Linked DNA regions of Schizosaccharomyces pombe. The gene in region 3 interacts genetically with the main gene of each other region. Each region holds a gene or a part of one and is shown on either strand. Other genes may lie near its edges.

Region 1 (4,202 bases), 3.2 Mb from region 3:
TAAATCCTGATTGTGCTTTAACTTTATCCTTTATTTGTATATTTTTAGCTCAGTATACCAGTATTCCCTTACCATGCCCGCTTCAACTCCCTTCGCCTGATCAAAAACCCATGACTTCATTTTCATCGGAACAAATGTTGTATATAATGTATAACATAGTTTGGATTTCATGGAACTGTGGCATTTTTTCGTTTCCCCGTGGAATTACCCAATCCCAGCTTTTTGAGTTAATGCAGTATACTGGTTTCTGGTTAGTTCAGCTACGTACCAAGCCGCTAACTTCTCAAAAGCCAGATTGGCATTACAAGATGGGTATGGATTTTGACCTTTTTCACCGATTATACCTGGCGCGTCTTCCAATTCCAATAAATTACTCCTCTCTTCGATCACGTTCCTCGTCTAAACCATATCAGCTTATTTCATGACCTTTTTTACATGATCTTCGATTAACAGCTTTCTTATAAAGTCTCTTAACGTATATTTTTTAATGCTATTTATATAAACTTTTTTACTGAACAATTAAATTCAATAATTTCTTTTAAAACTGTTGTAAAAAAATTAGATTATCGGTGTATTTATTTATATTAGTCAATCTTTCTATGACTATTTTCGTTGAAGATGGAACGAATACTATGAGAAGATCACGGAAAGAAAACAAAAAGCAATCCTAAATGGAAAGATCGTTTAAAACTGAACGCAAAGCCGAATCATTTGGTTGGGCATCGGAAACGGGTTGAATGGAACGAGTCTGGTTGATGATATCTTTAGTTTTTCCAAAGTAGACATCCTGGAGGAAGTTGCGCATCCGAGTTTCCATTTCCTCAACCAATTTGCCAACATTAGCGATCTCAGTGTCATCATCTGCCGCTGGTAATCGTTGAGAAGTTTGGCGAGTCAAATGACCTGAAAGGTTAAGAGCTTTGGAAGGCAAGGCAGACTGTTCCTCCGAGCCAGATGAAAGGAAAAGGATAATAGTACTTGTAAGTCGGTAATCATAAACGTTGGTTTCCGTGGTAGGCAGACATTCAAACACGTGAATAGAATCCCATCCGCTTGAGTTAGAAGTAGAAGCTAAATGAAGTTAGAATTATATAATGAAATTGACAGAAAATAAAAATACCCTTTTTTATGAGAACGGCGCCTGCGTAACTATCGTCTTGGTCCCAAAGATAAACGCTACTAACACCGCCCTCGTAATAAAGATCAAGATAGACACGGATTGCTTCATTCAAAGAAACTTCTAATTTACGAACTCGATCAGTAGAAACTAAACCATCCTCCAAAGGAGGATCATATTTATTGCTCCATGGTGAGCGGTACGAATCTCCATCCCTGTTAAAGTCACATAACAAATATTGATTACCTGACTCAGAACAAGTATTTACTTTTAGAGGCTGATCAACAGACGAGAGAAGGACATCAGCTAAATCGGGAGCGACGGAAAGAATTGTGTCTAGGTTTTTAGAGATATCTTTTGGGTTTAATCGTCGGAGTAAATCTAATGCAGCGTCTTCAGACTAAAAGAATAAGTTAGCTGATATTGTAAAGAAGGATAACGACAAAGAATGTGAAAAGCAAATTCATAAAGTCTCTGAGCAATACTGACGAAAATCGATGAAATATGCATTCAATGATAAGATGAATTTACAGATGGCTATATAATAAAAATATAACAAAAAAATTGGGCAAGGTAATTAATTTCAGTAATACTTACATTCATGGTGAGTTGATGATATAATGCTTTAAACAAAAGAATACAACCGGATAGCGATCTCAGAATAAAAGTGAGGCCTTAATGATTATAGGAAGTAACTTTAGATTCGTCGCATAAATTACGAAGATTCTTCACGGTGCAGTACACAAATAGTAGAGGTGACTGACTGGTGGTGAGGTACTTGTACTCTGGTGCTTTCTGCGTAAGTTTAGAAAGTGAACAACATATGGCGGTGAACATTGAACGATGAACCCTCTGGTGATGACAACGTAGCAAAAACCAACCTCAAACTTACTTTATAATCAAACTGGTAATATCAATGAGCTGTTAAAAATAATCAAAAGAAGAGCACATTTTGTTCAAGCGGAAAAAGTCAAGAATTTATTAGATGCTACTGTTGGTCACTTCAATAAGCTGTCTATTTTTCAATATTGAACATTTTCAAGTTAAATTTAGTATTGGCAACGAATACAAAACTTTTCTGTATATCGGTTAAATTCCTTAATACAGAAACAAGGAGAATTATATGCCAAAGTCAATGCTTGAATCGCTTTCTATCTAAAGTTTGGATTTTCTACGAGTCAAACCATGTAAAGTCATAAAAAAGTCAATAACAAACGTCCTTCTTTCATTTTAAGCAATGGTCTTTCATTTTATTTAAACTATGGATCTTTTAAAATCTATTCTTATGTTTATAACCTTAACAAATGCATTGTTTAACTGCTTTTTGATCTTTATCTACATCTCACCTTCTGTTTTAGCATCCACTCAACCTTTAATAACGTTTTACTGTCGTTATGCAGTATGACAACTTACGAATTTAGTGTTCGTATATCTTCAAACTGCGTTCCTTAGAAATAAAGAACATTTAATTTGTTTTGTTAAACGGTTTTCAAATGGAATAGCGCGACTCAACGTTCTAAAAATTTGCGGAACATTAACTGTGATCAAAAATTTTGGGAGAGCCTAGATTTTGCCACTGTCACGTAATTATGTACAAGCGTTCAACTCCCATCTCTCACCGATTTCTGATTCGCAAAAATCACATGGGTTTTTTCATGGTGTGGTCCTTTTAACCAATCAGATTGTAGGACGGTTTCTCAAATGACCGAGAAATGATTCCATTCCGTTCCATAAGATTCTTTGTCCCGTTCGGAGTTCTTGAAATCCCGAGTTCGAATCTTGCATTCTAACTTTTTTCGTATGTTTGGCCATACTAAGACTACTAGCGCACGGCTGAAACCAATTGTGTAAACAAACATTTCTAACCTTGCTTAAACTGGATTGAACCTTTTTGTCAGTACATTGGAGGATTACATTGGATAATTGCACTTTTCCGTATTTCTATCTGTTTATTGTCTTGACAAAGGCTGTAATTACTGTTGTTGTAGCAGTGAGTGTGTGATTACAAACACTTAAAACAGAAAATGTGCTTTGTGGGTTTGAAACTTTTATCGAAATTTTGTAAGAAGTTAACCTGCAATTATTGTTGATCATTTATCTTTTAATTGTATTATTATTAAGTTGTTTACTTGCAGAACACATAGTTTGGCCGAATTTTTTGGTTTTGTTTGTTTACAATAACACCCCGCGATTTGCGTTGCGCCTGATAGCTTTAGCCAGTGGTGACGTAGGAGAAAGATAATTGGTCAGTCGCCCTCCATTGAAATTATCATCTAATCGTTCATCCGCCGCAATGTTGATTCACATCAAAACCCTAACCCTGAGGACAACGGTGACTTATACCAACATGTTTCCTCCTTCCCTCTGCAAACCACATTTTTCCTCGGTTCGACTCTTGAAATTGCTAGTCGCGCGGAAGAGTTCGATATCGTTATTAATCGTTAATTTGTTATAGGGCACTACTTTTTTGTCCCTTTGAAGCCAAGTCGCTATAAATCTTAAGTCATTTGTGCTATCTGTTATTGTTTGGCGCTATACAACGAAGTAAATATTGCATATTGCTTGTTTTAGTGTAATAGGCAGTTTATGCGCGCGTGTGTTGTGAAGGTTAGCCGGCATTAATTTTGTTCATTCTTGTTTTTGTGTACTATTAGCAATTTGATATTCAGTGTTGCTGTGTTGATTGCTGTAGCTTATACGTCAACGTGGCAATTTTGTTTTGTAAGTAGTTTTGTTTGTGTTTATGACAGGTGAAGTGGGTGAGGCAGTGAGGGCAGTCCAACTCTTAATTTGGATTTTTTGCTGGTGATTTAGGATTTTGATATGGTTTGTCGAAGTTTGTTAGAATTGTCGCTTTTTTATCCTAAAGGTTAAAAAATTGGAATTGGTAGTCTCTTCATTGAAAGGAACTGACTTTAAAATTTTTTTTTTGTTTTGCCAAAGATACGTTTCTTTTCTGTGTTGCGACGCGTCTACCACCATTATATTGTAGACTGTGGAAAGGTGGTGCTATTGTTCCTCTTTTGTTAATATCTCGTGTTCCGTTTGACAATGTTACCTACGCCTTTTTTTATCGTAGTTCCTT
Region 2 (5,033 bases), on a different chromosome or scaffold from region 3:
CAATTACGGCTTTAAGAGCTATGTTTCCAGCGTTTGACAGTGAAGTGATTGAAGTTGTGTTAAATGCGCAACAAGGAAGGCTTAGTTCATCTATTGATTCCCTTTTGGAGATGAGTTAACATTTGTAGTTTTATGAAATACTCAAGTATAATTTATTATTATTATTATTATTTTTAAATACAAACTTCTAACTTTTTACGACCTGATGTTCTACCGGTTCCAGGAGTCATCTTTGCTGCTTTAGAACCAAACTGAATAGCCCTCTTTTTTTCTTGACTAGCTAAGGGACAACCTAATCGACGTCCTAATTCACGTAAAATTAGTTTGTCACCTCCAACTAAATCTAGACGCATTTTATCAGTAGTTTTCATTTTGCTAAACAAAGCCATCAGACGCTCATCGAGAAAAGGATAACGCACCTCTTTCCCTTGATTAGACATTACCCTGTCATCTCTGCCCAAGTTACGATGTGGAATACGATCAATGTCCAATTGCAGTTCTTCTTCAAGACCGGCCATACCTTTCCGTTCAAACGCTCGTAGGTGCCGCATATAACCACCGAGCTGCTCATCAGCCCCCAGGCCACTGATGAGGACTTTAGCTTTTATAGTATAGGAAGGTAATTGATGTTTCAGTTTGATATCATCCACGTTTTGTAAAAGTACACCACGCCCTTGTGAAGCAAAATAAAAAGCTAATCCAATAGAAAGATCCATAACTGAATCGTTCGGATAGATAAGTGTTTTGACTATTTCCTGTGCTTCACATACTTCTGTATAAGGAACGTTTATAGCAACAAAATTCCATTTTCGAGCAGGGCAAACTGAAATAAGCTCCTGCCAGCCTTGTAATCCAGTTTGTCTATCAGGACATACGTCGTATGCATCAAAATTGTCAGGAAGAAGTCCCGTCTCTCTGTCACGGTATGTCTCTGTAAATCTTGGGTTTTCAAAAGCCACATTAATTAAATCGATGGACTCGTTATTGGGAACTATGTCGTGCATTAGCCGTGCTAATACACCGCAATCCACTCCCCCAGAGTAAAGAACGCAAACTCGGCTATAATGACTACAGTCAAGGTTTGAAGAGCACAGTTTGGGGATTGTTAAAACTCTATCTTGAAGCGCTTTGATAAGATATGTATGCAATGTGTCCACAGTGTCTGAAGAGATTGAGCCCATGAGAAAGGACTCATCCACAGGAGGAAGAGGGTTTGTTTTTTCCAGTTGCATTAATGATTTAGAGAAGTTAATTTTTGGGATCAAGTCCACCTGCACACTATGAAACCCAGGCTCAACTTCTCGGAAATCACTAGAATTTCCTACACTTGAGAGAACGAAATTACTATCTCGTAAACTATACAAAAGGGATCTTCTTCCTAAGCGATCTCTTCCCCACCACAATGTGTTTGTACGAACTTGGTAGTAAACAAAAGCAAAAGGTCCTTGAATACTTCCCAAAATTTTTTCAATGTCGCCCGGGTTATTGTTTAAAAGTTCAAAAAGTTTTGCACCGTCGTTTTCATTACGATTGAGCGTAAATTTGTGATGATCGCTATGGTTTATTTGCCAAATTTCTCCATTCCAACACAAAACGTTTCCAAAACTGTCAACATGAGGTTGAGGCGTTAAATGATCAGAAGGGCCACGTAAATGCAAAACGCTTGACTCAAAGTGCAAATTCCAAGGTCCGCTATTCAATTTATGCTTACCAAAAAAATCAGGTCCTCTAGCCCGAATCCTTTTTCGTAAAGCTGAAAAAGATGGACTTTCAAGAAGATTATCTCTGTCTTCCGCTAAGGCGAAAAGAATTCCGCACATAAACTATTCTCAAACACTTTTGCTTCTAACAAATCTACAGTCAAAAAAGTGTTTTTTCCTTTAACGACGTTTGTGTGGTACAGTGTGATCGTAATTTTATATACAATATCATTTTGCGACACATTGCAACGCTTATAAGTAACTACACACTGAACAGACTCACGGGTCTACATATTTTTTCTTATACAATTATACTTACAACTGGTAAAGAATTTTCTTAGGTCAATCTGTAGCTTGAAAGCCAAAATTAGGTTTCTATTTATGAAACAATAAGCGAAATGCTGTATGCCTGACAAAGCATAATGGGGTAGTTAATGACATTTAAAGAGCTGTAACAATACAGTAAGCATTAATAACGCGCTCCACAATAATCTACTGCCAAAGTATAAAAAAAATAAATTATAAAAAGATATTGTACCATATTATGAAATCGCAACATATAAAATTGTCCAACAAATAACATTGATTTCGTTTGGAACATTTTCTGCATAGGAATGGCTTAATTCACTTTAATTACTAATATATTCGCATTTTTTTACTTTCTGCTGGTATACAAACATTGAATACGTACTCTCTAAGTATTCGTTAAAGGTACAATGTTACCTATTATGAGGCTGGTTTCTATAACAACGAATGTTTGTTTATATTTTGGAATATACACTTAAACAAAGCCAACACTTATTAGCTAAAACACTTTGGATAAAGCAAATATTACTGCTTTCTAAATAATAACTACTTGCTTACAATTGCATTTTTTTAATACAGCTAGTTTTTTTGGGGGACTCCGCTCTTTGAGATATATATCCTTACGTTGGCAACAATTTTCTATAAGTTAATCCCAGCTTGATTTTTGTTTTTCCTTCCTTATCCTTCTCTTCCTATTTTTTATCTTGTTTTTAAGTGTTGCGGCTAGATTTATACCCTGCGAGCTTGGCTATCCTGATTTCTTAAGGTTGTCAACGATCCTGAATTCTTTCCGTTGATTAGTGTCCTGATAGTTGAGAAGCATATCAGCAAATGCATTCACCAATTCCAGAATTACCAAGGTAATCTATTGTCTTATTGTTATTACCCAATTAGGTATCTAACTTCGTTTTTGTAGATTTGAACGTCGATTGACTGGTCCTCGTGCTGCTCCTTCTTCGCCGGTCTCTACTAATGGCTCCCCGCTAAACAATTTAGTTCGTTCTCGGTTATCTGATGGAGCACTTAACTTTACTGGAGGTCGAATAGCTACACCATTACCGCAACCAAGTTTGAAGACTCCTGAATCTCCTTTGTCCAAGAGGAATCCAACAATAAAACAAAATCGTGTACGTTTTGATCTGCCTGATGACGAGCTCTCTCGTTCTAATGTTTCGTCGCCGGAAAAAACACTACTAACCTCTGCTTCTACTTCTACTTTCGATAGCTTAAAAAAGGAGCTTTTACCTGAATTGCCATCTCTTGCATACAGTGACGACGATGAGTTTCCTAGTTCGCCGGAGGAATTGAATTCACATGTTAATTATCCAGACGTACGAAATGTTTACGATTGTCATACCGGTTTACAGCCGCTTGTTGATCATGATTGCATTGAAGACAGACAAAAAACCTTCGCATCCAAACAACTTCCTACTCTTCCTTTACAGAAATCCAGTAAACTTTCCAATCGTAGACCCGCTTTGCATTCTTTTCATTCTGCTCCTGCTAATAGCTTATATCCTTTGCCCACCCCCACTTCACAATTGCCTAGCAACTTGTCCTCAAATAATTTATTTCAATCAGATTCACTTAAGCCTTCAATGGTATCTTCTCATACATCTACAAAACCAGTTCTTTATAGAGGCAATTCTGAAAAATCCTGTCATAGTTGCGGCGGTTCTTTACGCGCTGGCAGAATAATTAGTGCTTCAGGAAAGAAATTACACCCTCAATGCTTCAAATGCGATACTTGTTCCCAGAACTTAGAGCACGTTGGATTTTATTACCGCGAGGGAAAATTTTATTGTCATCTAGACTATCATGAACAGTTCAGTCCTCGCTGTAAGCACTGCAAAACCCCAATTGAAGACCAAGCGGTCCATATCAACAATGATTGGTTTCATGAAAATCATCATTTTTGCGCTGGTTGCTCTGAAGTTTTTAATGTAAATATACCCTGTATTTACCGTGACGACCTATACTGGTGTCAGACTTGTTATGATAATAAGTATGCTGTTAAGTGCAAGAAATGCCGTAAACCCATTTTGGGGATCAGTGTAAAAGGGTCTGATGGTGAATATCATAGCCAATGTTGGACCTGCGGAGCTTGTAATGCCCTACTTGGAGATGAGGGTTATTTTATGATAGAAAATACCCCTATTTGCCGTCCTTGCAAGGCGATATCAGTCAAGTTTAATTTGGATTAACTCAGACTTACTCATCACTTTCTTTTTCTTTTTTTTTTGTTATTTTTTCACTTCTTTCATCGATTTTAGCTTTATAAGGAAAGCTGTCTTGGAAATCTTGGAGATTTTAAATCATTTCATTTAATCCACAAAGTCCAGCATGTTTACTTGCATTTAAACTTGCTGTATTTTTATAATTAAGCAATTAATGATTAGGTAACTATAGATATATAAAAAGCACTATTGAATTTCAACGGTTACGATTTTTGATATCACGTAATACTTAAATACTTTAGATAACTTACCAAAAAATAAAAAATAAAAACATATTCAGTTTGCACAAATGCATTTTAAACTTTCGAAAACCCCTATATTCCTATTAAATATCCAAAATCAAGTACGAAAACAATCTTTTCGACTTGTTAGCAAAACTATAATACAGCATTGAAAAAGTATCTTTTGCAGTAAACACTACCAAACATTATTTTTAAAAGTAGAGTTTTTCTAAATTTTAAAGCAAGTGAAGAAAACAAAAATATTTAAGACGTTTCAAACCTTTTTCAAGTCCACATCCGAATTTCTCCACCAGCACCTGCACTGAATAACCAGGCTTCTTTTGGATGCCAGCATGTGGATAAAACACCGACATTATCAACCACTTTATGATTCCGCAAAATCTTAAGAGGAACAATCAAGGGATTAGCCAGAAGGTCACTGTAAACACGACCGTGGAACACTTGAACATCACCATCATCAGAGCCAGAGCAAAATAGTGGAAGGGAAGGATGATATGAGACATCGCGAAGAGCACGTGAATGATATCGAAGATTTTTATATGGTTTAG
Region 3 (7,757 bases):
TAGCTCATAACTGAACTGAGGAACGAGGTTCAGCAGTAGCTCTATTTATAGTATTCAGATAATATAGATCTTAATAGATTATCATTAAGATCAATCTCCATATCGTATCATACATGGTACGATATATAATTAGAACATGTGACATATAGTGATACGCAACGTAGTGTATCATAGCGTAGTGTAGTACTGCTGACAATAGTGTGCAAGAATAATTTAGAAAATTTGCGTAACTTAACGAGATGTTGCACGCCACCATTATAAGACTAGAATCATGTTGGATCACTTTATTTCATAACCACCATATAAAAATGGCAAGTCATTTGGCAAGTATTTATGGTACTGAGCAAGATAAAGTCAATTGCTCATTCTATTATAAAATAGGAGCTTGTAGACATGGGGAACGCTGCTCTCGTAAACATGTCAAACCAAATTTTAGTCAAACGATCTTATGTCCCAACATGTATAAAAACCCAATTCATGAACCAAATGGCAAAAAGTTCACGCAGCGTGAACTTGCAGAACAATTTGATGCATTCTACGAGGACATGTTTTGTGAGTTTTCAAAATACGGTGAAGTTGAACAATTAGTCGTCTGTGACAATGTTGGAGATCACTTAGTCGGAAATGTTTATGTAAGATTCAAGTATGAAGAGTCTGCCCAAAATGCTATTGATGATTTAAATTCCCGATGGTATTCCCAAAGACCAGTCTACGCCGAGTTATCTCCTGTAACTGATTTTCGCGAGGCATGTTGCCGGCAACACGAAACTTCGGAATGTCAGCGGGGTGGCCTTTGTAATTTTATGCATGCCAAAAAACCAAGTCCTCAGCTTTTACGCGATTTGGTACTAGCACAAAGAAAGTATTTGGCCTTAAATGCAGCAGAAGAAATGAAAAAGGAGCCCAATAGTGATTCCACGAATCGATGGGTCAGTGTAACTGCTGAACGCAAAAATTAAATAGCAACTTATGGAATGTATTTGTTTTGGATTCTGGTTTGCTTTTGTACGGTTTTACTTCGTTTATTATGATTAATCTCTGGCTATAGTTTGTTGTGATTTAGGTTATTTAAATAGATGTTGCATTCTTTTATTGTTTACTAATAAACTTGATCTTTGTACAACTGTACTCATAGACGTTTTAAATTTTGTGTCCAATGTGCCTATGGCTGATTACAAGCTAAAGGAGATCGATTAGAAACATATGAAACGATCAAACATTTCGCAAAACTTGCACAGCAATTCTTAAAAACGAAGGTGTTATTGGTAGAAGCTGTGTACGATATAAGAAAAAAAAAACAAAAAAAAATAAATAGAACCCGTATTTAAGCCAAAATTGTTCAGTTGTTGTATGTTACGAAAAAATAAGTTTCAAAAATTAAAAAAATTAAAACTGCTGAATATAACATTTATATGTCTTAATTACTTTTTTGGTTTTGACGGCGAGCACGGACAGCTTCAGCAAGATCGTCTAGCATTGGAGCAGTTTGTTCCCAGCTAACACAAGCATCAGTGATACTGACACCGTACTTGAGAGTATCCTTAACGCCAGGACGGATTGGAGCATCTTGACGACCTTCATTGATATGAGATTCAATCATAACACCAACAATGGAAGAGTCGCCATTTCTGATTTGTTCGGCGATGCTCTTGGAGACCTTTGGTTGGTTCAAATGATTCTTGCTTGAGTTGCCATGAGAGCAATCGATCATGATACGAGGAGGAAGGTTGGCCTTCTCAAGATCTTTGCGAACGGCGGCAACGTGCTCAGCATCATAGTTAGGACCCTTCTTACCACCACGCAAAATGATGAAGGTATCCTTGTTGCCCCTGGTCATGGTAATAGCGGCGAGACCTTGTTTAGTAACTCCTAGCATTGTGTGAGGATGGGCGGTAGCACCAATGGCATCAATCGCCACACCAACAGTACCATCAGTACCATTCTTGAAACCAACAGGGAAGGAAAGGGCAGAAGCCAATTCACGATGTAATTGAGACTCGGTAGTACGAGCACCGATAGCACCAAAACTGAGTAAGTCGGCGAAGAATTGGGGAGAAATGTTGTCCAACATCTCACTGGCCAAAGGAATGCCAAAATTGGTAACGTCGCAATACATTTGACGAGCCATCCTAATACCCTTGTTGATAGCAAAAGAACCATCCAAGTTAGGGTCGTTGACCAAACCCTTCCATCCGATAGTAGTACGGGGCTTCTCCAAATAACAACGCATGACAACGCACAAAGCATCCTGAAGCTCGTCAGCTTTGGGCTTCAGCAACTTAGCATAGTCCATGGCCAATTTAGGGTCATGAATGGAGCAAGGACCGACAACAACGATAATTCTGTCATCTTGTTTGTTGAGAATAGCTTGAATCTCCTTTCTGGAGTCAGTGATGACTTTGCGAGAAGTTTCAGAAACAGGAATCTCTTGTTGAACCAAAGCGGCAGGAACCAAAGGGTTGTAACCTAAGACACGGTTGTCATCAAGATGCTCTTGATCGTAAGTTTCACCGCTGGGTAAAAAAACCTAATTGAATAATGTTAGCAAATTGACATTAAAAAAAAAGACCAAACATGCTGGACATAGCAATCAACATAAAGCAATAAAAATTTCAAAAAAAAGAAACAAAAAAATTTAAAATTTCAATTGCCTAAAAATTCATCAGCAAAAACAAATTTGTTATCCGCATAGTAAAATCTACTATATAACTCAATAAGATAACTTTCAGTACTGTTTCTCCGACTGATGAAAATTTTTACTAGCAAAATTCTTTGGATGCCCAATTGGGGTTACTTACCGGAGACATGGCTTATTAAATAGAATTAATAAATTTAGGTCAAAGAGTGCTTCCTAAGTTGTTGAATGCCAAGTAAGTAAACACTATTAAAGGTCCTTTACTACGACGAAGGTTGGTTCTGTCTGAGTTCGAAGCAGCGCCAACGAAAAATATATGTAGTCCAGTAATAAGATGATCCAGTGATAATGGCTCTAAGTCATCGGAACTGCGAAACAAGTAGTAGGCAATTTCTGGACATCATCGCTTAAAAATTTGTTCAAATTTATAAGTCCTTTGTTTTGTATCAATTTCTAGATTTCACTTGCTATTTAATTACTTGAAAGTAAATTGAAGGTTGAGCGTAAAAACATAAAATAAAGCCTTTTTTCGGTTTCTTATTAATTCATAAATTAATGTTAAAAGGGATTGATATATAATATTTAATAATTACGTTTCCTACAATGTTTACTGTCATGTACCACTGGGATATGAGAATATATACATTGCTTATCAAAATACTTATTTCCAAGATTCGCTCAATTATATAAACCACGCATTAAAGCAACATATAAAAACATATTGATTCGTTTATTTTACTTTTACTCAATGCATATTTTGTGAGCCCGAAAATTTAGATATACCATCTGTGACTGCCTTTTTGGTACACAAACGCCGAAAATTAGAAGTCTGGTGGACAGCGTTGGCTTTCCGGTAGATTAGTCTTTTGAGGTTAACAAGTTAATGATATCTGATATTCTGATGTGATTATTGAATTTATGAAGTGCATCAGTACTGTATTTCTCGTGTTCCGGTGACTCTCGTATTTTGTATTGCACTAGAAATAGTGAAATCGCCAGCCATTTCATAATTTATCAAGTAGCTCGACATTAGTATGACTATTCATATTCTGTATACGAATGATGTTCTAAATTAAAATCTGGCAAAGTAAATGACAATTCTGTTCATATAAGCTGGTTTACATAGCTCTACGTTCTTTAGTAAATTACTAAACAGATCGCTATACAGTAAACATTATCATGGCAACGGTTGCTATGGGGCTTATAGGTGCGTGTACACAGATTACAGTCGACTTAGTACACTTACCTTCATCCTAACAATCCATTTAGAATAGTCAAACATGTCGACAGACGATTCACCTTATAAACAAGGTAATAACTACTTTTTGAAATCATTTCAAAATGTTTATTAACGAAAAGATAGCTTTTTCTTTATTTGACCGCCATGGAACTGGTCGCATCCCCAAAACGTCCATTGGTGATCTTTTAAGAGCGTGTGGACAAAATCCTACGCTGGCTGAGATTACTGAAATTGAATCTACTTTGCCCGCAGAAGGTATGATTTCTTGTTATGGGTTTGGAGAGTTATACTCCTTAGCCGTGCATTAAGTGACAATACTAATTGGTAGTCGATATGGAACAATTCCTTCAAGTGTTAAATCGTCCCAATGGGTTTGATATGCCTGGTGACCCAGAGGAATTCGTGAAGGGCTTCCAGGTGTTTGATAAAGATGCCACTGGCATGATTGGAGTGGGTGAATTGCGCTATGGTATGTATTTATAGAGATCTATCCTTTTTTCAGATTGATAAAAAAATGCGAAACTAATTGTATCAGTTTTAACTTCTTTGGGTGAAAAACTCAGCAACGAAGAAATGGACGAGTTATTAAAGGGTGTTCCCGTAAAAGATGGCATGGTTAATTATCACGGTATGCTCTATTACTACTCTGGGCTTCGGCAATCAACTACCTATACTTAATTATACTAACTGCTTCCTTTAGATTTCGTTCAAATGATTCTTGCCAATTAATTAAATCTACATAGTTTGCATAATTTACCCGGCATATGTTTCTCCTTTATTATTTACACCTTTATTTCAATTTTATGTCTTCAATAGTTTACTTTCGTTCAGCTTTTCCATCTGATACACTTGGGACTATGAAGCAATATGTTCCTGAATACAGATAACTGGACTTTTCGATACTCGCAGGAATTTCTACACATATCGTTTAGCATACGGAAATAGAGATATCCTTCTATATTCGTATATTTATGAATATGATTAACAACCATTTGTTATCTCATGCAAATGACCTTATATCTCAGCTGCTTAAATTGTTTGAATCTCTCCAGATGTAAATATAAGTTTTCATTCAAAATTACACTTTTCGTAAGTAATTACGGTTGATGCCAGCTTTCTTGATGCATTCGGCTCCAATTTTGCCATATCGTGTATATCTTGTATATCTAATTTACTGTGTGTCAATACGATGCTTTGAATTAGATGTAGGGCTTGACACTTGATGTCGAACGAATGGCCAGAGTCAAGACAGTCCATTCTTTTGCATTTTTACATAGTGAACACAAATCATAAAGGTAAAACTTTTGGCTCATTTAGACATGCAATCATATAACCCAACAATTAGTCATTTGTTTGCTCTAAGGCCTGAGTAGCAAAATATTGAACATCAGGGTCATTATCTTTTGTAAGTTGTTCGAGCAATGGGATGATTTGCTGTTCATATACGGTCGAGTCACCACCAGCTGCCAAAACAGGCTTAAGAACTTCAAACGCCTTGGCAACGTTAAAGCGAATATTAGGAATAGGGTCATTAACCAACTGTTCCAAAGTTGGAAGAATTTGTTTTTCAATTACTTCAGCATTCAATGCAGGTGCGATTTCCTAAAATACGTTAGAACTGGAAAAAAGCAAAAAAGAAAAACTTACACTGATCGCAAAAATAGTTGTCATTCGGTATAAATAATTTGGATGGCTTCGCATAGCCAAAAACTTTGGAATAATTGTCTCAGTTGCCCATTCCAACCCAAAAATTTCCGTAAGTTTTCGCAAATTCTTTATCGCAGCTTCACGAATAGAATATACATGGTCCTCTAACCATGACATACATAAATTGCCCATTTTCTCATTAAAAAATTCGACCCCAAGCTGCTGAGCAAGTAGTGGAATGTAGTCAATGATAGCAAGACGAACACGCCATTGTTTATCTTCAGCAAGTGTAACAATTGCAGGCAATAAAGATTGTGAAAGTAATTCGATACCAACGACTAAAGTGAGTTAGTATAACTGTAGCAATAGCTATATTTTGAATTTGCAATTTACCTTTGTTTACAACTTCCAATTTCGAAATAATGTTAAGACGAACTTCAGGGTTTTCATCTTTAAGTAATTCCAAAAACATTGGTAAAAGATACTCTGTAGTCCTAAATATAACGATTAGTAAAATGAGGTTTTTAAAAGAAAAGTTATTTTTAGCAGACATACTTTTCCTTTCCTAATTGTGGGGCGAGAGCACCTATGTTCATCCCTAAAGCAGCACGGACATGTTGAGCGGGATCATTAATTAACTCTTGAATAACTGGAATAATCTCTTCAAGAACAATTCGCTTATCCAACAATTCGCAAAATCCTGGTATTTGAGTAGCAATAGCACGGCGGACTTCCTGCTCGGTATCCTTCATGAGCAGTACGAATGGTTTAATAAGTTCATCTTTAATAAGAGATGGTCCAACTACTTTAGCAAGTTTTACAAAATTAGCAGCAACCATATAACGTGTTCTCCAGCTGCTATCCGAAACAAAAGACCTTAATGGTTGAAGCAAATAGTGACGAATTTCCGAGTCAGATTTTAATACCTCCGCCAAAGAAACCATAATGTCGAAAGAAAGGAGCCGAACTGAGTCTTGGTCATCATTAGAAAGGGAGTTGAACAATGGAATGAATTCGTCAATAGCCTCCTGTTTAGTTACCAAAAAAACAAACTTGGCACAGTTCGTTGCTGCAGGACGACGGACCATGGGAGCTTCGTCGTGACATAGATGACTAAAACTTTGACGAAGAGAGACTTTGACAGCAGGATTTTCTGACTGAGAATATGCCGCGCAGTAAAGCCCAGCAGAGGACGCACGAGAGGTAAACCACTCAGCGGTTGAAAGACGTTGAACCAATGGAACAAAATATTGCTCTAATTGTTCTTGGGATAGGCAAATACATACTTTATTGAGAGAGTCAACGGCTTTATCGCGGACTACCGTTTCTTCAGTTGCAGCAAGATTTTCAAGGGGAGACAAAAGGACATGCGCATACTCAGGGCCTCCAACATAATCTACAAAATTTCCTAACTGGTCGGCGAGAGCTGATAGGACTTCGTCCTCATCGTCAATCGATTCTGTATTCAAGGAATGTTAGCCGACAAACATACATCGTTTATTAAAAAATATAAAGAATTTTAAAAATTTAAACCTATAGTTCCATAATTTTATTATTGAATGCATACCATCTAAAAAGGGAATCAACTCATCCCTTGTACGTTCAGGACCTAAAGCGAGAGCAATTGTCGATAACCGTTCCAAAGCATTGAGCCTATAAGTAATTTCATCATGCTTTAACAATAGTCAGAGTTGAACATATCAGACGTAAAACAATTTGTTACCAACCTTTAACTCATCAATCAAAACAGCAATCGGATACAAATCGTTCACTTGCTATAAATAGTCGTGGTTAATAAATTGTAAAAGAGACATTTTGTAACACACATTCTCTGTTTGCATTTTATATAATAGAACAACTCGTTCTTAGCAAACAAGCAAATAAAGTGGGTAGGAAGTTTTAAACTTTTCGAGGTGAAGAAGGAGTGTGTGTTACAGCGGACGCTACCAAATTGAAACAGTTTTCCAAGCAAGTATCTCAAAGGTTTTCCTTAACATGAATCATTTTGAATAATTCTAAAAAACTATTTTGTGTTTATAATATACTCTGCTTTTCAGAGTTTTGACTGAACATAAATTCCACTTAAATGTTTACATACTGAATTGTCTAGCATCACGAATTCTTTTTATGTCTTCTCTCTTTATTCCTGACCTAATTTAATCTTTGTTTTTGAGAAGTATTGTTTAAGGGATATGGTTTGGAATCACATTTCTACCAATGCTAAAGCTTTTATAT

Evidence for each region. Genes that interact genetically often act in the same process or in processes that back each other up.
Region 1: mutations in cdc4 (region 3) and acp2 are lethal when combined (synthetic lethality), as found in Schizosaccharomyces pombe (2 studies listed by BioGRID, with this or other methods).
Region 2: mutations in cdc4 (region 3) and pxl1 are lethal when combined (synthetic lethality), as found in Schizosaccharomyces pombe (2 studies listed by BioGRID).

Annotation. Positions count from the first base shown.
Region 1 is NC_003424.3:2,103,530-2,107,731, forward strand, and holds acp2 (F-actin-capping protein beta subunit acp2), read right to left. Parts: upstream 1,905-4,202; 5' UTR 1,721-1,904; coding exon 1,715-1,720; exon of another isoform or gene 1,518-1,714; coding exon 1,121-1,517; intron 1,072-1,120; coding exon 668-1,071; 3' UTR 501-667; downstream 1-500. Other genes in the region: protein Atg14, read left to right, coding at 1-425. UniProt on the Schizosaccharomyces pombe protein: F-actin-capping proteins bind in a Ca(2+)-independent manner to the fast growing ends of actin filaments (barbed end) thereby blocking the exchange of subunits at these ends.
Region 2 is NC_003423.3:2,709,675-2,714,707, forward strand, and holds pxl1 (paxillin-like protein Pxl1), read left to right. Parts: upstream 1-2,493; 5' UTR 2,494-2,837; coding exon 2,838-2,866; intron 2,867-2,922; coding exon 2,923-4,210; 3' UTR 4,211-4,533; downstream 4,534-5,033. Other genes in the region: asn2 (asparagine synthase), read right to left, coding at 174-1,820; erb1 (WD repeat/BOP1NT protein), read right to left, coding at 4,750-5,033.
Region 3 is NC_003424.3:5,325,303-5,333,059, forward strand, and holds cdc4 (myosin II light chain cdc4), read left to right. Parts: upstream 1-3,885; 5' UTR 3,886-3,915; coding exon 3,916-3,946; intron 3,947-3,998; coding exon 3,999-4,130; intron 4,131-4,203; coding exon 4,204-4,344; intron 4,345-4,410; coding exon 4,411-4,503; intron 4,504-4,575; coding exon 4,576-4,604; 3' UTR 4,605-5,216; coding exon of another isoform or gene 5,217-5,477; 3' UTR 5,478-5,522; downstream 5,523-7,757. Other genes in the region: U2 auxiliary factor small subunit Uaf2, read left to right, coding at 309-959; SPOM_SPAP8A3.07C (phospho-2-dehydro-3-deoxyheptonate aldolase), read right to left, coding at 1,418-2,527, 2,799-2,807; serine/threonine protein phosphatase PP2A scaffold subunit Paa1, read right to left, coding at 5,217-5,477, 5,523-5,860, 5,916-6,016, 6,078-6,981, 7,090-7,195, 7,250-7,297, 7,349-7,363. UniProt on the Schizosaccharomyces pombe protein: Involved in cytokinesis. Required for the formation and function of the contractile ring.